Anolis sagrei: one gene and its partners. The protein of the gene in region 1 purifies or fractionates together with the protein of each later gene. This does not show direct contact. Links are inferred from orthologs where the notes say so. Each region holds a gene or a part of one and is shown in the gene's direction. Other genes may lie near its edges.

Region 1 (7,131 bases):
ACAATGAGAGGCACCCCTGTAACAGTGTGAAGACAGGCAAGGGAGAGGAAAAGGATCTCCAGTGATGATACATCTCCACTACAAGTGAGATGGCCACTGTTGAGTCCCAAATTGGGTGAAAGCAGAATAAAAATATAGTAATATAATTATAACAGATGTAAAAAGAAGTGCATCTGTAACAAGGCAGACAAGGAAGGGAAGAAGGGTTTTTAGCAACCATAAATCTCCACTGTAGTGTAACACCCTCTATGAGTCCCAATTTTTTGTAGGGGAGGGGAGAAGGATATGGAGAAGGAGACAAAGACTGTAATAATGGAATTTAAGAAAATGTGCACCTGTAACAGCATGGAAGACAGGGAAGGGAATGGAGAAGGATCCTCGGTGACTATAAATCTCAGATATAGTGAGACAGTCACTATGAGTCCTAATTTAGGGGGTGAACGTGGGGTATAAATATAATAATAAATATGAAAAAGAGGTATATCTGTACCAGCAGTGGAGGCAGAAAAGAGAAAGGAGAAGGATCTTCAGTGACTATAAACCTCCACTACAAAGAGACAGTTGTTTTGAGTCCCAATTTGGGGATGAATGAAATATATCATCATCATCATCATCATCATCATCATCATCATCATCATCATCATCGGGTGTACTTTTTGGCAGGAAAGGGTGGGAAGAAGGATCTCCACCTACCATAAATATCCACTACAGTGAGATAACCACTACAGTGAGATAACCACTACAGTGAAATAATTGAGTCCCAGTTTGTGGGAGGGGCAAAGGAGGTAATAGTAATGATAAAGATAATAATAATGATAGGAAGGAAGGCAGGCAGGCATATATGTAACAGTGCGGAAGTTAGGAAAGGGAGGAGAGAGGGCTCCTCAGAGACCATAAATCTCCACTGTAGTGAGTCCCAATTTTGGGTTGGAAAGCAAACTAAATAAATAAATATGATAATAATGGAATTAAGAAGAGATAAAGGGCAGTACTACTAGTACTAATAGTAGTAGTAGTAGTAGTAATAAATATAATACTAACAATAATAATGCAATGAAAAGGAGGGAAAGCAGAGTAGAAATAAACGTAAAAATAATAATGGAATTAAAAGAAGGGAAAGCGGAGAACAAATAATAATAATAATAATAATAATAATAATAGTAATAGTAATAGTAATATGATCGGCACACTGGGTGCAGTGCCTAAAGATTTTGGTCTGCACTTAAACACAATCGGCGCTGACAAAATTACCATCTGTCAGCTGCAGAAGGCCACCTTACTGGGATCTGCACACATTATTTGCCAATACATCACACAGTCCTAGACAATTGGGAAGTGTCCGGTGCGTGATCCAATGCAACAACCAGCAGAGTGATCTTGTCTGCTGTGGACTCATCTTATTCTGTTTCAAATAATAATAATAATAATAATATAATCAAAAGGAATAAAAGAAGAGTCCAAATAAATATGATAATAGAATTAATAATAAATATAATAATAAAAATATAAATAATATAGCTAATAATAGAATTAAAAGGAGGGAAAGTGGAGTAAACAAATATAATAATAATAATAATAATAATAATAATAATAATAGAATTGAAAGGAGAAAAAGAAGAGTCCAAATAAATATAATGACAATTAAATTAATAATAATAGTAATATAATTATAATGCAAATAATAAATATGATAATGGACTTTAAAAGAGAGAATTTGGAGTACTTGCAAGTATAATGACAATGGCATTAATAATACATATACTGAATACAATACTAATACAAATAATAAATATAATAATAGAAATAAAAGGAGTGAATGAAGAGTCCAAATAAATATGACAATTAAATTAATATAATAATAATAATAATAATAATGCAAATAATAAATATAATAATGGACTTTAAAAGAGGGGATTTGGAGTACTAGTAAATATAATGACAATGGCATTAATAATAATCAATATAATTAAAAATGTAATGTTCGTTTGTGGGATTAGCATAACTCAAAAACCACAGTGTAGACCTCACAACCTCTGAGGATGCTTGCCATAGATGCAGGTGAAACGTCAGGAGAGAATGCCTCTAGAACATGGCCATATAGCCCGAAAAAACCCACAACAGCCCAGTGATTCTGGTCATGAAAGCCTTCGACAATACATTATTATTATTATTATTATTATTATTATTATTATTATATATAAACTGGGCCACAGCAACACGTGGCAGGGGGACGGCTAGTCATAAATATAATAATACATATACTAAATATAATAGTAATACAAATAATAAATATAATAGTGGAATTAAAAGGAGGGGGGAAAGAGCCCAAATAATTATAATGACAATTAAATTAATAATTGTCTTGTTACATCCTGAATAGATTACTGCAACGTGCTCTACGTGGGGTTGCCTTTGAAGACTGTTCAGAAACTTCAATTAGTCCAATGGGCGGCGGCTAGATTACTCACCGGAGTGTCATACATGGAGCATACCACCCACCTCCTATGTCAGCTCCGCTGGCTGCCGATCCAATTCCGAGCACAATTCAAAGTGCTGGTTTAGACTTACAAAACCCTATATGGCTCCGCCCCAGTGTACCTGTCCGAACATATCTCCTTCTATGTCCCACCCCGGAGTTTAAGATCTGCTGAGGGGGCTCTGCTCTCGGCCCCACCTTTATCACATGCAAGACTGGTGGGGACGAGGGACAGGGCCAGGCATGTAGCCGGGGGGGGGGGGGGCTCGGGGGGCTTCAGCCCCCCCCCCCCCGAAATTCTCATGGTGGTTCGCGAAAAGGCCTTACTGGTGCATTATTTAAACTGTTATGTTTATTCATATCATGATCTTATCACCATACTCAATATATCCCATATGCATGGGGGTATTGGGGTAATGATACAAAAGGTTTGCTAGGCTAGACCCTCTTTCACTCAGACTCAGCCCCCCCCCCAAACGAAATCCTGGCTACGGGCCTGGACAGGGCCTTCTCGGTGGTGGCTCCTCGCCTGTGGAATGCGCTCCCTGGGGAAATTAGGACATCAACATCCCTTCTCTCCTTCAGAAGGAAGCTAAAAACCTGGATGTGGGACCAGGCCTTCAGGTAAGCTGGCAGATGGACAAAGACAACCAATAATGACCAGAGTAGGAAAGGACAATGACGATGATAGATGGTTTACGGACTTGGATTTGGTGAACATTGACCACAAGATGTTTTTATTGCTGCTAGTATACTGTTTGATTGTTTTAATTAGTTATAACTGACATTATATGGCAAATTTGTGTATTGTATATTGTATTGTATTTTGTGAATTGTTGGGCATCGAATTGTGCCTTTTGTAAGCCGCCCTGAGTCCCCCCTAGGGGGTTGAGAAGGGTGGGGTAGAAGCGCCCCAAATAAATAAATATAATAATATAATAATGCAAATAATGAATATAATAATGAAATGAAAAGGAGAGAAAGTGGAGTCCAAGCAAAGAGAATGAGAATGGAATGAAGAAGACAGAAAGCAGGGTATCAATCTAAATAAATAATAATATCAATAATAATATCAATCTAAATAAATCTAAATAAATAATAAATAAATAATCAATCTAGAGAACAACAGCTATATCTAGCAACCCTCCAGGAGCGCCTCACCCTCGCCTCCTGCTTGAGGGTGCCAAAGAAGGGCTGCCTACGAGGCCCCCACCCTCCTTTCCCGCCCCTCACAGTAACGACAAGGAACGAGTGAGGAACGAACTACCCCCTTCCCTCCCCTCCCCTCCCCCAAAGTGACAGCGGCCCAGGGGGCTGACCTTTCCCTCAGCGCGCGTGGCCATCTCGCCGCCTCCTCCTCCTCCTCCCATTAAAGACACATAAACAAAGCCGTCTCGCGCAGGGGAGGGGAGGGGGGGGTGGCGGCTGAACGGAACAGCCCAACGGTGAAGCGCGAGAGCAGGAGGAGGGAAGAGGGGAGGGGGATTTAAATCCCCTCAGGGCACACTCGCGACGGGAACTACATTTCCCATAGTGCCTCGGGAGAGAGGGAGGGGGGCGGTACCTCGCTGGAGTGAGTGAATGAGGGAGGAGGAGAAGTCGGGACCCGAGGCGCCGCGGGGAGTCCGTCCCTCTGTGAGGTAAGCGCCGGCGCATGCGCAGTGGCTCCCTCTTAGGCCCTGCGTCGTCCTCCTCCTCGGGTGTTATTTTCGAGGGGCCCCCGTGCTCACCTTGTGTCTCCCTCCTCGCGCCGGCGGTTGGGGCCTTGTCCCCCTCTCCCCTCGCCACCTCAGGATGTCGGAACAGACGGGCTTGGTGATGCCGCAGAGCCTGGACAGGTAATAAAGCGAAGGGGGAGAGGCGGCCTTGGTGGTGGTGGTGGAGGAGGAGGAGGGTGGGCGCCATAGACACCGGGACGACTGGAGCCTTTGGGGACACAATTAAGAAATCTTGCTGACTGGAAGGTTGGAGATTCCCTCAATAATCTACCCAACCAGGATGTTGTGAGTTTTCCGGGCTGTATGGCCATGCTCCAGAAGCATTCTCTCCTGACGTTTCGCCTGCATCTATGGCAAGCATCCTCAGAGGTAGTGAGGTCTGTTGGAACTAGGAAAATGGATTTATATATCTGTGAAATGACCAGGGTGGGACAAAGAACTCTTGTCTATTGGAGCTAGGTGTGAATGTTTCAACTGACCACCTTGATTAGCATTTGATGGCCTGGTAGTGCCATCTATGGCAGGTATCTTCAGAGGTCGTGAAGTCTGTTGGAAAGTAGGCAAGTGAGATTCATATATATATATATATATATATATATATATATGCTAGCTTATATATATATATATATGGAAAATAGAGGAAGAAAATGTGGAGGCCGTGACAGACTTTGTATTTCTAGGCGCAAAGATTGCTGCAGATGCAGACTGTGGCCAGGAAATCAGAAGACGCTTACTTCTTGGGAGGAGAGCAATGTCCAATCTCGATAAAATAGTGAAGAGTAGAGACATTTTTTTTATTTATTTCGGGGTTCTTTTACCCCGCCCTTCTCACCCCCGAAGGGGACTCAGGGCGGCTTACAAAAGCAAAGGCACAATTTGATGCCTGCATCACAGAACAATCAAAACACAAAATTACATCAATTCACAGTTAACAACAATTCATGCATTATACCAATAAAATCAATAAAAGCAATACAAACCCAATTCCTTCTCCTACATGGTCAGTGTTCGCTAACTCATAGTTCTAATTTTCAGTTCCACTTCGTCAATCCTGTTGGTCTTACTCGCCTGATTGTCTTATTTAATTGCCAGATTGCCCAAAGGCCTGGTCCCATAACCACGTCTTCACCCTCCTCCTGAAGGAGAGGAGGGATGATGATGCCCTGATTTCCCCCGGGAGTGAGTTCCACAGGTGAGGGGCCACCACTGAGAAAGCCCTGCTCCTCATCCCCACCAGACTCACTTGTGACAGTGGTGGTGTCGAGAGCAGGGCCTCCCCAGATGATCTCAGACTCCGGGGTTGGACGTAGAGGGAGATACGTTCGGACAGATACACTGGACCGGAACCGTACAGGGTTTTGTAGGTCAAAACCAGGACCTTGAATTGTGCTCGGAACTGGACCGGCAGCCAGTGGAGCTGACACAGGATGGGGGTGGTATGCTCCCTGTATGTCGCTCCGGTGAGCAGTCTGGCTGCCGCTCGCTGGACTAGTTGAAGTTTCCGAACAGTCTTCAAGGGCAACCCCACGTAGAGAGCGTTGCAGTAGTCTATTCGGGATGTAACAAGAGCGTGGATCACCGTGGCCAGATCAGACTTCCCAAGGTATGGGCGCAACTGGTGCACAAGTTTTAATTGCACAAAAGCTCTCCCGGCCACCGCCGAGACCTGGGGTTCCAGGCTCAGCGGTGAGTCCAGGATCACACTGGCAACAAAGATCCGCATAGTCAAAGCCATGGTATTCCCTGTAGTAACCTACGGATATGAGAGCTGGACCTTAGGGAAGGCTGAGCGAAGGAAGATAGATGCTTTTGAACTGTGGTGTTGGAGTAAAGTTCTGAGAGTGCCTTGGACAGCGAAAAGATCCAACCAGTCCATCTTCCAGGAAATAAAGCCCGGCTGCTCATTGGAGGGAAGGATACTAGAGACAAAGTTGAAGTACTTTGGCCACATCATGAGGAGACAGCAAAGTCTGGAGAAGACAATTATGCTGGGGAAAGTGTAAGGTAAAAGGAAGAGGGGCCGACCAAGGGCAAGATGGATGGATGGCATCCTTGAAGTGACTGGACTGACCTTGAAGGAGCTGGGGGTGGTGACGGCTGACAGGGAGCTCTGGCGTGGGCTGGTCCATGAGGTCACGAAGAGTCGGGGACAACTGAATGAATGAACAACAACAATATATGCTAGCTGTCCCCTGCATGCGTTGCTGTGGCCCAGTTTGTTGATCTGGTAAATAAAGTAATGAGGAAGTGTTGGTTTCTAATATATGTAATTTCTTTATGCTTGTTGGGTAAACAGTATTTCTTGCTGTTTCTTTGTCAGTGTTGATGTGGAGATTGTCTGTTTGTCTCCTCTGGAACATTCAACATATAATTGTCCTTCTTTAGAGGTTCCTTTCAAATCTATGATACTATATTTGTGTGTGTGTGTGAGTCATATATATCTCTCTATATCTATGAATGGATGGCTCTTTGTCAGGAGGGCTTTGATTATTTTTTCTTGCCCTGGTAAAGGAAGTTGGACTGGATGGCCTTAAATATTTTCTGTTGGTCTTGGGAGTTCTGTGTGGGAAGTTTGCCCCAATGCAGTAGTTGGTGGAGTTCAGAATGCTCTTTGATTGTAGGTGAACTATAAATCCCAGCAACTACTAATCCCAAATGTCAAGGTCTATTTCTCCCAAACTTCATCTGTGTTTATATTTTGGCATATGGAGTATTCGTGCCAAGTTTGGTCCAGATCCATCATTATTTGAGTCCACAGTGCTCTCTAGATATGGGTGAACTACAACTCCAAAACTCAAGGTCAGTGCCCACCAAACCCTTCTAATGTTTTCTGTTGGTCATGAGAGTTCTATTTGCCAAGTTTGGTTCAATTCCATCATTGATGGAGTTCAGAATGCTCTTTGATTATAGGTGAACTATAAATCCCAGCAACTACAA
Region 2 (7,635 bases), about 70 Mb from region 1:
TAATGATGTTTGGGGAAAGCTTTTAGAACAGAAGTGCAGCTGAATAAATGGTGTCGGACTAAACACTTCAGATAGCAAAAATGCCAAATTATGATTATGTTTGGGGAAAGCTTTTAGAACAGGAGTGCAGCTGGACAGATAGTGTTGGACTATCAATCCCAGCATCAACTGCTAGCAAGGACTGGTGGGACGGTCAAATATCTGGATAGCTTCATGACTCCTACTCACATTCAGAATCTAGAATAACTACTGTGTCTGAACCATTAGTAAAAGTTTCTTTGTAACTGCTGTCACTAGAAAAGACGAAAGCATTTGTTTATGGTTTATTGTCAAGTTGTGACATTGAGAACGTGTTGTTTTTATACTTATGAATCCAATGAAGCCTACAACTGCCTGTATTTCCATTTTATTTAAGCCTCAAATGTAGGATAGAAAAATGAGTGAAATATTACCTGTATGTTTTCTAGAAGTGTGTTCCAGTGTGTCAGAGACATTTTTCTCTGTGCGGAATGCACATAGAATTGTTGTCTTAAATAATATTTGATTACACAAATTATTTTGTGTGAATAAAGTGTGGTGAATGCTCCTTTGGAGGCTTTTAAACAAAAATGGTCATCTGTTGGGGATGCTTTGAATGTGATTGTCCTGCTTCTTGGCAGGAGGTTGGACTGGATGGCCTACGAGGTCTCTTCCAGCTCTATGATTCTATGAATAGACATTGAACCCAAAGCTTTCAAAATGTTCAGGATGGCATTTAGTCCTGAGTGCAAAGAACAAGTAATGTTTTGTAATGAAACATGGCGTAGACTTGTGAATAAGGCCTGAAATGGAAAATAAAAATGCACATTTATGTCATCATTACATTTTTTTTATCTATGTGTCAAAATACTTTATTTAAAAAATAAATAAAAAAACAAACTAGTCTAAAATGTATGAGCCTTTACATTTCCAGACTTCAGTGATGCATAGAAGTTTCTTCAGAATGGAAAGTTGTTCCAGCTGGTAACAAAATTGCAGGTGCTAAGTGTTGATAGAATTTCAGGCAAATTCTGTGAACTCACAAAACATTTCAGCCATGCAAGCATAATGTATAATGACTCAAAACAAAAGTTTCCCATCTTAATTTTAACAGCAATACTCAGATCTGGAATATGTAAAATAACAAGTGTATGTATATGTAAAATACACTTGAATTTTTGATGTGGGTTAGTTTCTTTTAAAAATCAAGAACATTGTGCGTCTATTGTACAACTGCCATTGGAGCACAAAAGATACACCTGCTACATAAGACAACCTTCTGCCCCAACACTTAAGCAAACCATTGCCTATCTACTCAGAAGCAACCACTATGGGTTGTGCAAGATCACAGACTGCTATCAGCTGCTTCCCTTAAAAATGGAAAAGGAGGACACCTCACAGAAGATACTCTGGAAGTCACGAAGAAAAAACCAAATTTAATTCCATTTTTTTTCCTTTTTCTTCATCTTTATTTTTATTCTTATTTTTAAAATTATTATTATTACTTTATTTTTCTTTCTTTCTCTCCGTTTTCTTTCAAGGCCACTTTTAGATTTTAGTCATGTTATAGAAAATCTCAATAAAGGTATATATATTTTAAAGAAAGGCAAATATTCAAGACATTCTGGATACTAGTTGCAATGTCTCTTGATGCAATCAATGCAGAAATCAGATCCATCGAATGACCTCCAATTAAAGAGATGTATACAAAGTCTGGAAAATAAATGAATTCATATGCAACTACCATGAATCCCATTCTGGAAGAAAGGTGTAGTACTGTGTATAAATAAACCAAATAAAAATAACCATAAATCAAATTCTATGAGAAAGATGGACTATAAATTTAAAGATATATATCACCATAAATCCTATTTTGGTAGAAACTATATGAATCTATTGAATGAATAAAATCATTGTGAATCTCATTCTGGGAGAAAAGCACAATATATGAATGCAATCATTGTGAATCCCATTCCGGAGGAAAAAGTCCGGGTGCAAATTCTATAAATAAATATGATCCTCGGGTTGTTTTTTTATGTTTTCCAGGCTGTATGGCCATTTCCAGAGGCATTCTCTCCTGATGTTTTGCCCACATCTATGGCAGGCATCCTCAGAGGTTTGGGGGTCTGATGGAAACTAGGCAAGTGAGGTTTATATATCTGTGGAATAATGTCCAGGGTGGGAGAAAGAACTCTTGTCTGCTTGAGGTGGGTGTGAATGTTGCAATTGGCCACCTTGATTAGCATTGAGTGGCCTTGCAGCTTCAAAGCCTGGCTTATTGCTGCCTGGGGATCCTTTGTTCGGAGGTGTTAGCTGGCCCTGATTGAGACTTGTCTGGAATTCTGCATTTATTTATTTATTTATTTATTTGGAGTGCTTCTACCCCGCCCTTCTCAACCCCCTAGGGAGGACTCAGGGCGGCTTACAAAAGGCACAATTCGATGCCCAACAATTCACAAAACAATATACAATTTACAATTTAACATCAATAGTTATTACTAGTTAAAACAATCAATTGTTAAAACAATCAATAGTTAAAACAATTGTATTAACAGCAATAAAATCATTTTGTTGTCAGTGTTCGCCGATTTATAAATCCATAATCCATCCAGGATTGTCATTGTCCTTTCCTACTCTGGTCGTCATTGTCCTTTGTCCAACTGCCGGCTTACCCGAAGGCCTGGTCCCAAATCCAGGTTTTTAACTTCCTCCTGAAGGAGAGGAGGGATGTTGATGACCTAATTTCCCTGGGGAGCGTATTCCACAGGCGAGGGGCCACCACCGAGAAGGCCCTGTCCCTCGTCCCCACCAGTCTCACTTGTGATAAAGGTGGGGCCGAGAGCAGGGCCTCCCCGGAAGATCTTAAACTCCGAGGTGGGACATAGAAGGAGATACGTTCGGACAGGTACGCTGGGCTGGAGCCGTAAAGGGTTTTGTAGGTCAAAACCAGCACTTTGAATTGTTGCTCTTTAATGGGAGGTCGTTCGATGGACCTTTTAGGCTATTGCTCTTTATTTACTGTCCTGATTTTAAAGAGCAACACTCAAATATCAGGGGAATTACTGACATGAAACAATAATGGCCAGCTAACACCTCCGAACAAAGGATTCCCCCAGGCAGCAAGCAGCCAGGCTTTGAAACCGCAAGGCTATTAAATACTAATCAAGATGGCCAATCGCAACATTCACACTTGCCTCTAACAGACAAGAATTCTTTCTCCCACCCTGGACATTCTACAAATATATAAATCCCATTTTCCTATTTTCCAACAGACCTCACAACCTCTGAGGATGCCTGCCATAGATACAAAATGGGGGACAATGCCTGGCTCAAGAGCAGTTTGTGTGAAAAAGATCTTGGAGTCCTCGTGGACAACAAGATAAACATGAGCCAACAATGTGATGTGGCGGCAAAAAAAGCCAATGGGATTTTGGCCTGCATCAATAGGAGCATAGTGTCTAGGTCCAGGGAAGTCATGTTACCCCTCTATTCTGCTTTGGTTAGACCACATCTGGAATATTGTGTCCAATTCTGGGCACCACAATTCAAGAGAGATATTGACAAGCTGGAATGTGTCCAGAGGAGGGTGACTAAAATGATCAAGGGTCTGGAGAACAAGCCCTATGAGGAGCGGCTTAAGGAGCTGGGCATGTTTAGCCTGAAGAAGAGAAGGCTGAGAGGAGATATGATAGCCATGTATAAATATGTGAGAGGAAGCCACAGGGAGGAGGGAGCAAGCTTGTTTTCTGCTTCCTTGGAGACTAGGACACGGAACAATGTCTTCAAACTACAAGAGAGGAGATTCCATCTGAACACGAGGAAGAACTTCCTGACTGTGAGAGCCGTTCAGCAGTGGAACTCTCTGCCCCGGAGTGTGGTGGAGGCTCCTTCTTTGGAAGCTTTTAAACAGAGGCTGGATGGCCATCTGTCAGGGGTGATTTGAATGCAATATTCCTGCTTCTTGGCAGGGGGTTGGACTGGATGGCCCATGAGGTCTCTTCCAACTCTTTGAGTCTATGATTCTATGAGATGGAGGCGAAACATCAGGAGATAATGCTACTGGAAAGTAGTCATACAGCCCTGAAAACTCACAGCAACCCAATGATTCCGGCCATGAAAGCCTTCAACAACACATTAATACAATCCTCCCTAAGTATAGTGATTTTGTATTGTCGAAGGCTTTCATGGCTGGAATCACTAGGTTCTTGTGGGTTTTTTCGGGCTATAGAGCCATGTTCTAGAGGCATTTCTCCTGACGTTTCGCCTGCATCTATGGCAAGCATCCTCTGAGGATGCATCTCAACCTCTGAGGATGCTTACCATAGATGCAGGCGAAACGTCAGGAGAAATGCCTCTAGAACATGGCTCTATAGCCCGAAAAAACCCACAAGAATATAGTGATTTTGCTTCATCCAAATTTCCCTTCCTCTGCATCTTTGCATGGCAGCTGTCAAATGGGAACCGGAAATATTGCCCGCATGACATCGCTTCCTAACTCTATGGGAAGAGTTAGGAAGCAGGGAACGCGAGGACCGTCCTTGAGGATTTGTGACGCAAGCGCGAATCAGCCTGGAGAAGAAAGGGGCGGAGTTATCTTTCTACGCACGCGCAGTTGGAAGAAGGGAGGGTTTGCTGCCCGGAGTCAAGATGGCGGAAGCGGGTGAGTGAAGCCTAGAAGGAAGGCGCTGCTCAGAAGCGGAAGTGGGAGCTGCTGGAGCTGAGAGGAGCCGTTGCCAGGTGAGGGGAGGCGGAGGGTTTAGTTAGGTAACAACTTCGCATGTATTTCTACGTCTAGAGCAGGCCTGGGCCAACCTGGGCCCTCCAGGTGTTATGGACTTCAACTCCCACAATTCCTAACAGCCGGCAGGCTGTTAGGAATTGTGGGAGTTGAAGTCCAAAACACCTGGAGGGCCCAGGTTGGCCCAGGCCTGCTCTAGCTGCACTAGGCCTTCTTCTTCTTCTTACTATGTACTATTTTTTATCCAAAGCTTGATATGTTTTCACAGACCTGCAGATCTTAACTTTTAAAACATGTTTTAAACAGGTTTTATGGGAATCTGGAGTTGTAAATCCAGAAACATGACCTCGGCTTTTTTGCTCCATCTTTAAAGCAATGTAAATCATCATAGGTAGGTATCATAGGTACCTATCATAGGTAAATCATCATAGTGTGTGTACCCACATAATTAAGTTCAATATGAATTATAAAGTGATGCAGTTCAATCTAGGTAACAACTTCACGTGTATTTCTATGTCTAGAGCAAGCCTGGGCCAACCTGGGCCCTCCAGGTGTTTTGGACTTCAACTCTCACAATTCCTAACCCCTTTGTTACGCCAGCTCCACTGGCTGCCGATCCAATTCCGAGTACAATTCAAAGTGCTGGTTTTGACCTACAAAACCCTATACGATTCCGGCCCAGTGTATTTGTCCGAACGGCTCTCCCTCTACATCCCATCTCGAAATTTAAGATCGGCTGGGGAGGCCCTGCTCTCGACCCCGCCACTATCACAAGTGAGGTTGGCAGGGACGAGGAGCAGGGCCTTCTCAGTGGTGGCCCCTCACCTCTGGAACTCACTCCCCGGGAGTTTAGAACAGCAACTTCCCTTTTGGCATTCAGAAAAAAATTGAAGACGTGGATATGGGACCAAGCTTTTGGATATTCTGGCAGCTAAGGAAAGATCTGACGATAAACAAGGGTGAACGGAATGGAATGGATAAACGGACTCTGAACACTGAGCATGAGATTGTTTTGCTATTTTACTATGTATTAATGTTCTTAACTTGTTAATCGTTTAAATTGTTTTTATGTATTGTTTGTTTATTGATTTAGGCATCGACTTGTGCCTTCGTTTGTAAGCCGCCCTGAGTCCCCCCTCGGGGGTGAGAAGGGCGGGGTAGAAGTAATTGAAATAAATAAATAAATAAATCTGAATGACATGCTGAGTATGTGGACCCACATAAAGCAGCTCAATCTGAATTACAGGTTAGATGCAGTTCAATCTGAATCATATGGTAAGTGTATAGACCCACATAAATAATTTGGTGGTCAGTTCAGCCTGAATGCTATGGTGAGTGGAGACCCACACAATGCAGTTCAATCTGAATGATATGGTGAGTGTGTAGACCCACATAAAGCGGTCCAATCTAAATAATATAGTGGTCAGTTCAGTCTGAATGATATGTGAATGTAGACCTACATAATGCACTTCAATCTGAATGATATGATGAGTGTGTAGGCCCACATAAAGCAGTTTAATCTGAATTATAAGGTGATGCAGTTCAATCTGAATGATACGGTGTGTAGACCCACATAAAGCTCATCAATTTGATATCATAGGTAAATATGATGAATTTGGCATCAAAATTAGTAATGAAATTTGTGAACAATCTGTGTGTAATGCGTTTTTGTGGGGTTTTTTTTTCAAATTCAGCATCCAATAATACATTAAAAAAAACTACAGCAGTATTCAAAAGAGTTATTTTAATCACAGTCCTGGGAAATATTATTTCATTTGAATTCAGTGCTCTCTCCACCCATCAGCTAGAATAATTTAGGCTCCTTCCACACAGCTGAATAAAATCCCATATTATCTGCTTTGAAATGGAATATATATATATATTGTGTGTGTGTGTGTGTGTGTGTGTGTGTGTGTGTATCTTATATAAATACAAATGTAATGTTTGTTTGTGGGACTGACATAACTCAAAAATCACTGGACGAATTGTCACCAAATTTAGACACAATACACCTATCAGGCCAACAAGTGACCATCGCTCATAAAAACACTGGAAAACACAACAGAAGAGACTTAAAAAACAAAAATTGCATTACAATGCATGCGCAAAACCATACACACACACACACACACACACACAATACACACAAAACACATATACACAGACTGGGCCACAGCAACACATGGCAGGGGCAGCTAGTGTGTTTCTGTGTGCACACACGCAAACACACATACAGAAATATATATATATACAAAACACATATACACAGACTGAGTCACAGCAACGTATGGCAGGGGACAGCTAGTGTGTGTATACACGCCTACACGCACATACATACATATAGGTTGCACATATAACTTGTAAGCCACTCTGAGTTCCCTTCGGGGTGAGAAGGGCGACATATAAATGGCTTAATTAATTAATTAATATATGGCAGTGTGGACTCAGATAACCCATTTCAACGCAGATATTGTGGGATTTTCTGCCTTAATATTCTGAGTTATATGGCTGTGTGGAAGGGCCCATCGAAATGTAAATTTAGTGTATTTGGCAGCTGGAAATGCCACAGTCTTCACATCTGCTCCAGGAGGAAAACCTCAAAAAGAAAAAAAGAAAACTGCTTCTCTCTTTTATCTCGCCCGAGTTTTTAATTAGTTTTAATCAGTTTATCTTTTAATCATTACATGTAGCACACCCATTATTACTGTGCCTGTGCATATTGTAATTTCTATTTTGTTATGTATTCATATGTTTTATGTAACACTGATGTTATTATTTATTGTTCACATTTTCGATTTGTGTTTTGGTTTTTCTTTATTGTAATTGTCATTTGGGCTTGGCCTCATGTAAGTCGCTCCGAGTCCCCATTGGGGAGATGG
Region 3 (7,161 bases), on another chromosome or scaffold:
CAGAGGTTTATCATTTTACGTCATACATTTGGCTCACCCATTGCATTTGATTTTTCATTTTGTTACTTTGAACTGCTTTATTGTACTTTTAGGTTTTACTTATTTTATTGTGATGTTATTTTTGTCGCTCTGTATTTATTTTGCTGTAATGTTGCCCGAGGGCTGAAAAAAGCGGTATATAAATAAAGTAAATAATATATAAATAAGGTAAATAAGTAATGTACTACCGGGCTTGGCCTCATGTAAGCCGCCCCAAGTCCCCTTTGGGGAGATGATGGCGGGGTATAAATAAAGTTTATAATTATATTATTATAAACCTTTAAACAGAGGCTGGATGGCCATCTGCCAGGGGTGCTTTGATTGTGCTTTTCCTGTATGGCAGGGGGTTGGACTAGATGACCCAGGTCGTTGCTTCCAACTCTATAATAGGCATGAGCAAGTGTAATGATTCTTACCTAGTAGGCTGAAGGAGAAGCCAGGGATATCAGTGAGGTAGGCCTCCGTTTTGGGAGTGTACGCAAAGGAAGCAGACATCTTGAGAGGGTAAAGTGAGAAGAGGGGAGGAGCTGGAGATTTCTTAGGATTGGTTAGGACAGATGGGAGGAGTTAAGTCCTGAGAGGGAAAAGTGTCAGCTTCACAGAGAGAAGGGTTTTAGGAATTGAAGAAGAGAGATTGAATTTGGGAACAGAAGAGAGAGGAGAGGTATTTTTAGGCTTAGGATTTTTCTGACAGAGCGTTTGTGACAGGCAAGGCTGCATTATTGGCCAGGACGGTCAAGTAGTCACCTGGGTGCTTGTGTGGGCTTACACAAGTGCTTTGCTCTCTGGGTAGAGTAGATTAGCCACATAGAGAACTCTGCTTAGAGTGGGCTAATTGCTCTGAAGACAGCCTGAGTAGGTTAGTCTAGGGAACTCACTGCTACTGTATTATTGTAGAGTGAGGAGTTTTACGAGTGACTAAGTCAAGTAACCTGTTTAAAGTAACCATCAAGAATACTGTACTGTAGTAACCATTTAAGCTTTTGTGCCTCATCAAAGAAGACAGTTGTTTGTTTGATCTTATCAATAAATCTTTTATCTATTTCAACTTTTAAAGAAGCCTCGGTTGTAATTCATTCCTGTGAGAATAATCCTAGTTGTTTTAACATCTTAACATCACAGTCATCTCAGGGAGCTAAGGGAGAAGTGTGTGGCAAGGAAGAAGTTAACCTCAGAGAATCATTCTTCAATATCCTGAAGTATTTTAGGTGGTGGCAGCAAATCTACCAGAGTACACACTGTGCTGGTACAGCTGTACCAGGAGCTCCAATTCTGTTTGCTTTGCATTAAATGTTTGTTTGCAATCCCAGGCTTGGGATTTTGTAGCAAGGTGGCTTCCTGTTATAGGTTGCAATCATAGGGCAAGCCACCTGTCAATTATCGATAGGTTCCCTGATCCCGCCCCTTTTTGAGTTTTAGTGGGAATAGAAGCCATTTTGAGTTCAGTCCACACAGAGCAGCTTTCCATACAGGACATGAAACCAAGAGCTCCTGTAGAAAGCTTCGTCTTCTACGGCTTGGCCAGGGAGATATACAGCCTACAGCTTGGCCGGGGTTATACAGCCCACGGCTTGGCCGGGGAGACACAGCCCACAGCTTGGCTGAGGATTTTGCAGCCTTACAGCTCCTTTGCTGAGGGACTTCAGCCGGCCATCACTGAAACCTGAACTCCTTTTTTCCCAAGGAAGTTTACAAAGCTCTGCTTGATAAGGGCCGCTTGCAGAAGCCAGACGCAGTTGGTACCAGGTGCAGGGGCTCCATGCCAACAGAGGCAAGTACAGACTGCCCAGATTAGAAGTTAAGGATTTCCCCATTAGTTAGTATACAGTTATGAAGATAGTGCCTGTTCCCAGTGAACAAGATTGCAAGAGCCAATAGACTGTTAAGAAAGCTTTAAAGAACCTGTTTGTTTTCATCAATAAAGAACTTTGTTGGACTTACTTTAAGCCTCTACAGAACTCTGTTTGGGGGGAATCCAAAGGCCTTTAATCTGAGGCAGCCCCGGCGTCCCGTTGGGAATTTATGTCCTGTCTACAGTCATATGCACAGGCCCAGTGTGCGACAGCACACACGTTACCTCATATATATATACAAACACTCTGTGAAAGAACCTATATTCCTTTATACTGGTGTCAGCAGGTGGGATATGTGATATATTTTCCCCCCTGACAGCGTAAAAGGTCCCTTCACCTATATGTAATTTCGTTACGAGTGGTGACCAGCGGTGTAATTTAGAATAGCATACTTATAATAACTCCGTATCAGGATCACGTTCCTTTATAACAGTGTTTCTCAACCTGGGGGTCGGGACCCCTGGAGGGGTCACGAGGGGGTGCCAGAGGGTTCACCAGAGACCACAAGAAAGCACAGTATTTTTTGTTGGTCATGGAGGTTCTGTGTGGGAAGTTTGGCCCAATTCAATCATTGGCAGGGTTCAGAATGCTCTTTGATTGTAGGTGAACTATAAATACCAGCAACTACAACTCCCAAATGTCAAGGTCTATTTTCCCCAAACCCCACTAGTGTTTACATTTGGGAATATTGAGAATTCGTGCCAAGTTTGGTCTAGATCCATCATTGTTTGAGTCCACAGTGCTCTCTGGATGTAGGTGAACTACAACTCCCAAAACTCAAGGTCACTGCCTACCAAACCTTCCCAGTATTTTCTCCTGGTCATGGGAATTTTGTGTGCCAAGTTTGATTCAACTCCATTCCCTAAGGTCCAGCTCTCACATCCGTAGGTTACTACAGGGAATACCATGGCTTTGCCTAGGCGGTGGAGTTCAGAATGCTCTTTGATTGTAGGTGAACTATAAATCCCAGCAACTACAACTCCCACAGGACAAAACTAATACTCTTCCCCAATCCCACCAGTATTTAAATTTGGGTGTATTGGGTCTTTGTGCCAAATTTGGTCCAGTGTATGAAAATACATCTTGAATATCAGATATTTACATTACTATTCATGTTGTTGTTGTTCATTCGTTCAGTCGTCTCCGACTCGTGACCTCATGGACCAGCCCACGCCAGAGCTCCCTGTCGGCCGTCACCACCCCCAGCTCCTTCAAGGTCAGTCCAGTCACTTCAAGGATGCCATCCATCCATCTTGTCCTTGGTCGGCCCCTCTTCCTTTTACCTTCCACTTTCCCCAGCATAATTGTCTTCTCCAGGGTTTGCTGTCTCCTCATGATGTGGCCAAAGGACTTCAACTTTGTCTCTAGTATCCTTCCCTCCAATGAGCAGTTGGGCTTTATTTCTTGGAGGATGGACTGGTTGGATCTTCTCGCGGTCCAAGTCACTCTCAGCACTTTCCTCCAACACCACAGTTCAAAAGCATCGATCTTCCTTTGCTCAGCCTTACCTAAGGTCCAGCTCTCACATCCGTAGGTGACTACAGGGAATACCATGGCTTTGACTAGGCGGATCTTTGTTGCCAGTGTGATGTCTCTGCTCTTTACTATTTTATCGAGATTGGACATTGCTCTCCTCCCAAGAAGTAAGCGTCTTCTGATTTCCTGGTCACAGTCTGCATCTGCAGTAATCTTTGCACCTAGAAATACAAAGTCTGTCACAGCCTCCACATAGATATTTACATTGCTATTCAGAACAGCAGCAAAATGACAGTTGTGAAGTAGCAATGAAACTAATTTTATGGTTGGGGGTCACCATAACATTAAGGGGTCGTGGCATTAGGAAGGTTGAGAACCACTGCTTTATAGCAAGCTTGGGCCCTCCAGGTAGGCTGTTAGGAATTGTAGGATTTGAAGTCCAAAACACCTGGAGGGCCCAAGCTTGCCCATGCCTGTTCTATTCTAATTGCACTCTTTGGCCTTGGAAAACTCCCATGATTTCACAGCCTGGAGTCAAAGTGCATCCCTTCTACAATGGAGAAGGCTCTATAATGCAGCCTAAGTACCTCATCACTGGAGTATCTGTCTATCCTAGTACCCACTTTAGATCCTCCTGCAGAATCCTAGCGTTTGAGGCCTCCTGCCTCCGTTTCCTGCTTCTCCCGCCGCCCTCTAGGGGGAAACAACGGTCCCAATTGCAGCTGCACTACAACTCCCGGCAGCCTTTGCGAAGGCTTGGCCTCCTGCGGTGGCGCGCATGCGTAGGGCCTGCCGGGAGTGAGCGGGGCCGGCGCCAGTGGTCGGCGGCGGGGGAAGGTGCCAGAGCTCGTGCCCTTCCCTGCCGCCGCCGCTTCCTCCATTCATTGCCCTTCGCCTCCTTCGCCCGCTCGCCGCCATGGAGGCGCTGATTCCCGTCATCAATAAGCTGCAGGACGTCTTCAACACGGTGGGCGCCGACATCATCCAGCTGCCGCAGATTGTGGTGGTGGGCACGCAGGTGAGGCGGGCCGCTCGGGGGCGGGGCCTGGGCGCGTGTGGGCGGGGCCTGGGCCACCACAGTGGGCGGGGCTTAAGCCAGGATGACCTCCACCTGGGCAGAAGGTCTAGGGGTGCTGTTGGAGTGCTCAAGTGAGAGGCTCAAGGGTGGCTTTTATTTTAATTACTCTTATCAATATTTGCATTTGGGGTTTTATTATTTGGTTGGGGTGTTGGCCTACAAAAGTACTTCTCCCTTAATCTGAAATGCTTGGGACCAGGCTTTTCACCAGACTAAGGCGAAAGTCTTGCAAGGCCTGCAATATCTTGTCACTTAATAATTACTTGATTAAATCTTTCCATAGGAATACTGTTTTGTTTTTTCATTTCCAATTTCCATATTTTCAATACCATAGCACCATATTTCCAATATTATTTTACAACACAACAATTTCCAGTACCATAGCATCATATTTCCAATATTATTTTCCAATATGATTTCCAGTACCCCAGCATCATATTTCCAGTATTATTTTCCAGCATAACCATTTCCAATACCATAGCATATTCCCAATATTATTTTCCAGTGCAACAATTTCCAATATTGTAGAATCATATTTCCAATACAATTTCCAATACAATGATTTCCAGTACCATAGCATCATATTTCCAGTATTATTTTCCAACATAACCATTTCCAATACCAAAGCATCATATTTCCAATATTATTTTCCAACATAACCATTTCCAGTACCATAGCATCATATTTCCAATATTGTTTTCCAGTGCAGCAATTTCCAATACCGTAGTATCTTATTTCCAATACCATTTCCAATACAACGAGTTCCAGTACCCTAGCATCATATTTCCAATATTGTTTTCCAGTGCAACAATTTCCAATACTGTAGTATCATATTTCCAATACCATTTCCAATACAATGATTTCTAGTACCATAGCATCATGTTCCCAATATTATTTTCTAGTGCAACAGTTTCCAATACCATTTCCAATACAATGATTTCCAGTATCATAGCATCATATTTCCAATATTGTTTTCCAGTGCAGCAATTTCCAATACCGTAGTATCATATTTCCAATACCATTTCCAATACAATGATTTCCAGTACCATAGCATCATATTTCCAATATTATTTTCCAGTGCAACAATTTCCAATACTGTAGTATCATATTTTCAATACCATTTCCAATACCATGATTTCCAGTACCATATTATTATATATCCAATATTACTTTAAAATACAGCAATTTCCAATTCCATAGTATCATATTTCCAATTCCATTTCCAATACAGTAATTTCCCATATCATGGCATTATACACAGTATGTTTAGGTAATACATTTACATCAGTGGTTCTCAATATGTGGGTCCCCAGGTGTTTTGGCCTACAACTCTCAGAAATCCCAACAAGTTTACCAGATGTTAGGATTTCTGGGATTTGAAGGCCAAAACATCTGGGGACTCACCAGCTGAGAACCAAATCTCATCAGTGGTGTCCAATACTATAGCATATATACAGGATACATGACATTTAGGACCCCCTTGTGACCCAAGTCCAAATATGTATTTTATTTATTTACCCTCTCTCTCTCATTGAAGGACTCAGAGCAGCTAAATTGGATTTTCCCCCCAATACACCTTAACCACATAACCTGAGGATAATTTTATATGGGATATTTTAAATAATTTTGTGCGTGGAGCAAAGCTTGCATGCATTAAACTATCAGAAAGTAAAGGGGCCACTTTGAGTGAAATTCACTGTGAAATTAATGCAGTTTGACACCACTTCCCTAGCTTAGTGTCATGGGATCATGTAGTTTTACAAGGTCTTTAGCCTTCTCTGCCAAAGATTATTACAAACCCAAGAATACCATACCATTGTGCCATTGCAGTTTTCAAATTGCATTTACAGTATAAATGTGCCCTATGCCAGCCCCCCAAGTGGACAGTTTTGTGCTTTGGAGGATTTGGGGTTTCTGGATAAGGAATATTCAGCCTATTACTGCTTATTGCAAGTATTATCCAGTGTTGGTTAAGTGGAGAATTATTAGTGTTCAGAGCACGTTGCAATCCCTATGGGTCTCCTGCTTAATGGCATGCTGCCCAGTTGAAGGGGATGCGTTCCACATTGGAGGATTTAAGTGGGGTGGGGAGATAGGATTTTCAGATCCTGTCCTAATTAAACAATTTGTTCCTGAAAGATAAAAAGCAGCCCTGGATGACATCTTGGAGGCACAGACTGTCCTATTGCTACTGAAGCTTTTGCAATGCCACACAGTACATACTCTCTTTAAGATTGCAGCAACAGTCTACATTATTAGTATTCAGTGCAACAGACTTATGTATTAGATTTAGACTTTTAAAAACCACCAAGGCGGTTCTGGCAGAAAAAAGGCTGGTTAGGAGGTTCCTTGGGGACATTGAGATAGCTGTTCTTGGAAATGGGAGTGATCTTGCTCTGAGCTAGAAAGACAATTCTGATGTCCTTAAAGCTGAAAGGAAACAATATGAGTGTCATAAATGCAAAGATAATACATAGATCTTTAGAACACTGTTGCATGTGGAGTCTGAAGGTTCATCTACACTGCAAAATTAATGCAGTTTGAAACCTTTTTAGCTGTCGTGACTGAATATTAATGGGATTCTGGGAGGTGTAGCTTGTTTGGCACCAGCAGTCTTTGAGATAGAAGACTAAAGTTCTTGTAAAACTACAACACCTATGATTCCATAGCATTGAGCCAAGGCAGGTAAAGCAGTGGCAAACTGCATTAATTCTA

What was found. The genes of interacting proteins can lie anywhere in the genome.
Region 2: the proteins of MARCHF5 (region 1) and MFN1 purify together in Homo sapiens (affinity purification with western blotting; 4 studies listed by BioGRID, with this or other methods). This does not show direct contact. The link is inferred for Anolis sagrei from reciprocal best matches to the Homo sapiens genes MARCHF5 and MFN1.
Region 3: the proteins of MARCHF5 (region 1) and DNM1L purify together in Homo sapiens (affinity purification with western blotting, with the first as the bait; 3 studies listed by BioGRID). This does not show direct contact. The link is inferred for Anolis sagrei from reciprocal best matches to the Homo sapiens genes MARCHF5 and DNM1L.

What each region holds. Positions count from the first base shown.
Region 1 is NC_090023.1:187,038,620-187,045,750, reverse strand, and holds the start of MARCHF5 (E3 ubiquitin-protein ligase MARCHF5), read left to right. Parts: upstream 1-4,112; 5' UTR 4,113-4,270; coding exon 4,271-4,314; intron 4,315-7,131. UniProt on the Homo sapiens protein: Mitochondrial E3 ubiquitin-protein ligase that plays a crucial role in the control of mitochondrial morphology by acting as a positive regulator of mitochondrial fission and as an important regulator of immune response.
Region 2 is NC_090023.1:257,439,614-257,447,248, forward strand, and holds the start of MFN1 (mitofusin-1), read left to right. Parts: upstream 1-4,619; 5' UTR 4,620-4,755; intron 4,756-7,635. UniProt on the Homo sapiens protein: Mitochondrial outer membrane GTPase that mediates mitochondrial clustering and fusion. Membrane clustering requires GTPase activity. It may involve a major rearrangement of the coiled coil domains.
Region 3 is NC_090025.1:176,169,976-176,177,136, reverse strand, and holds the start of DNM1L (dynamin-1-like protein), read left to right. Parts: upstream 1-4,145; 5' UTR 4,146-4,284; coding exon 4,285-4,386; intron 4,387-7,161. UniProt on the Homo sapiens protein: Functions in mitochondrial and peroxisomal division.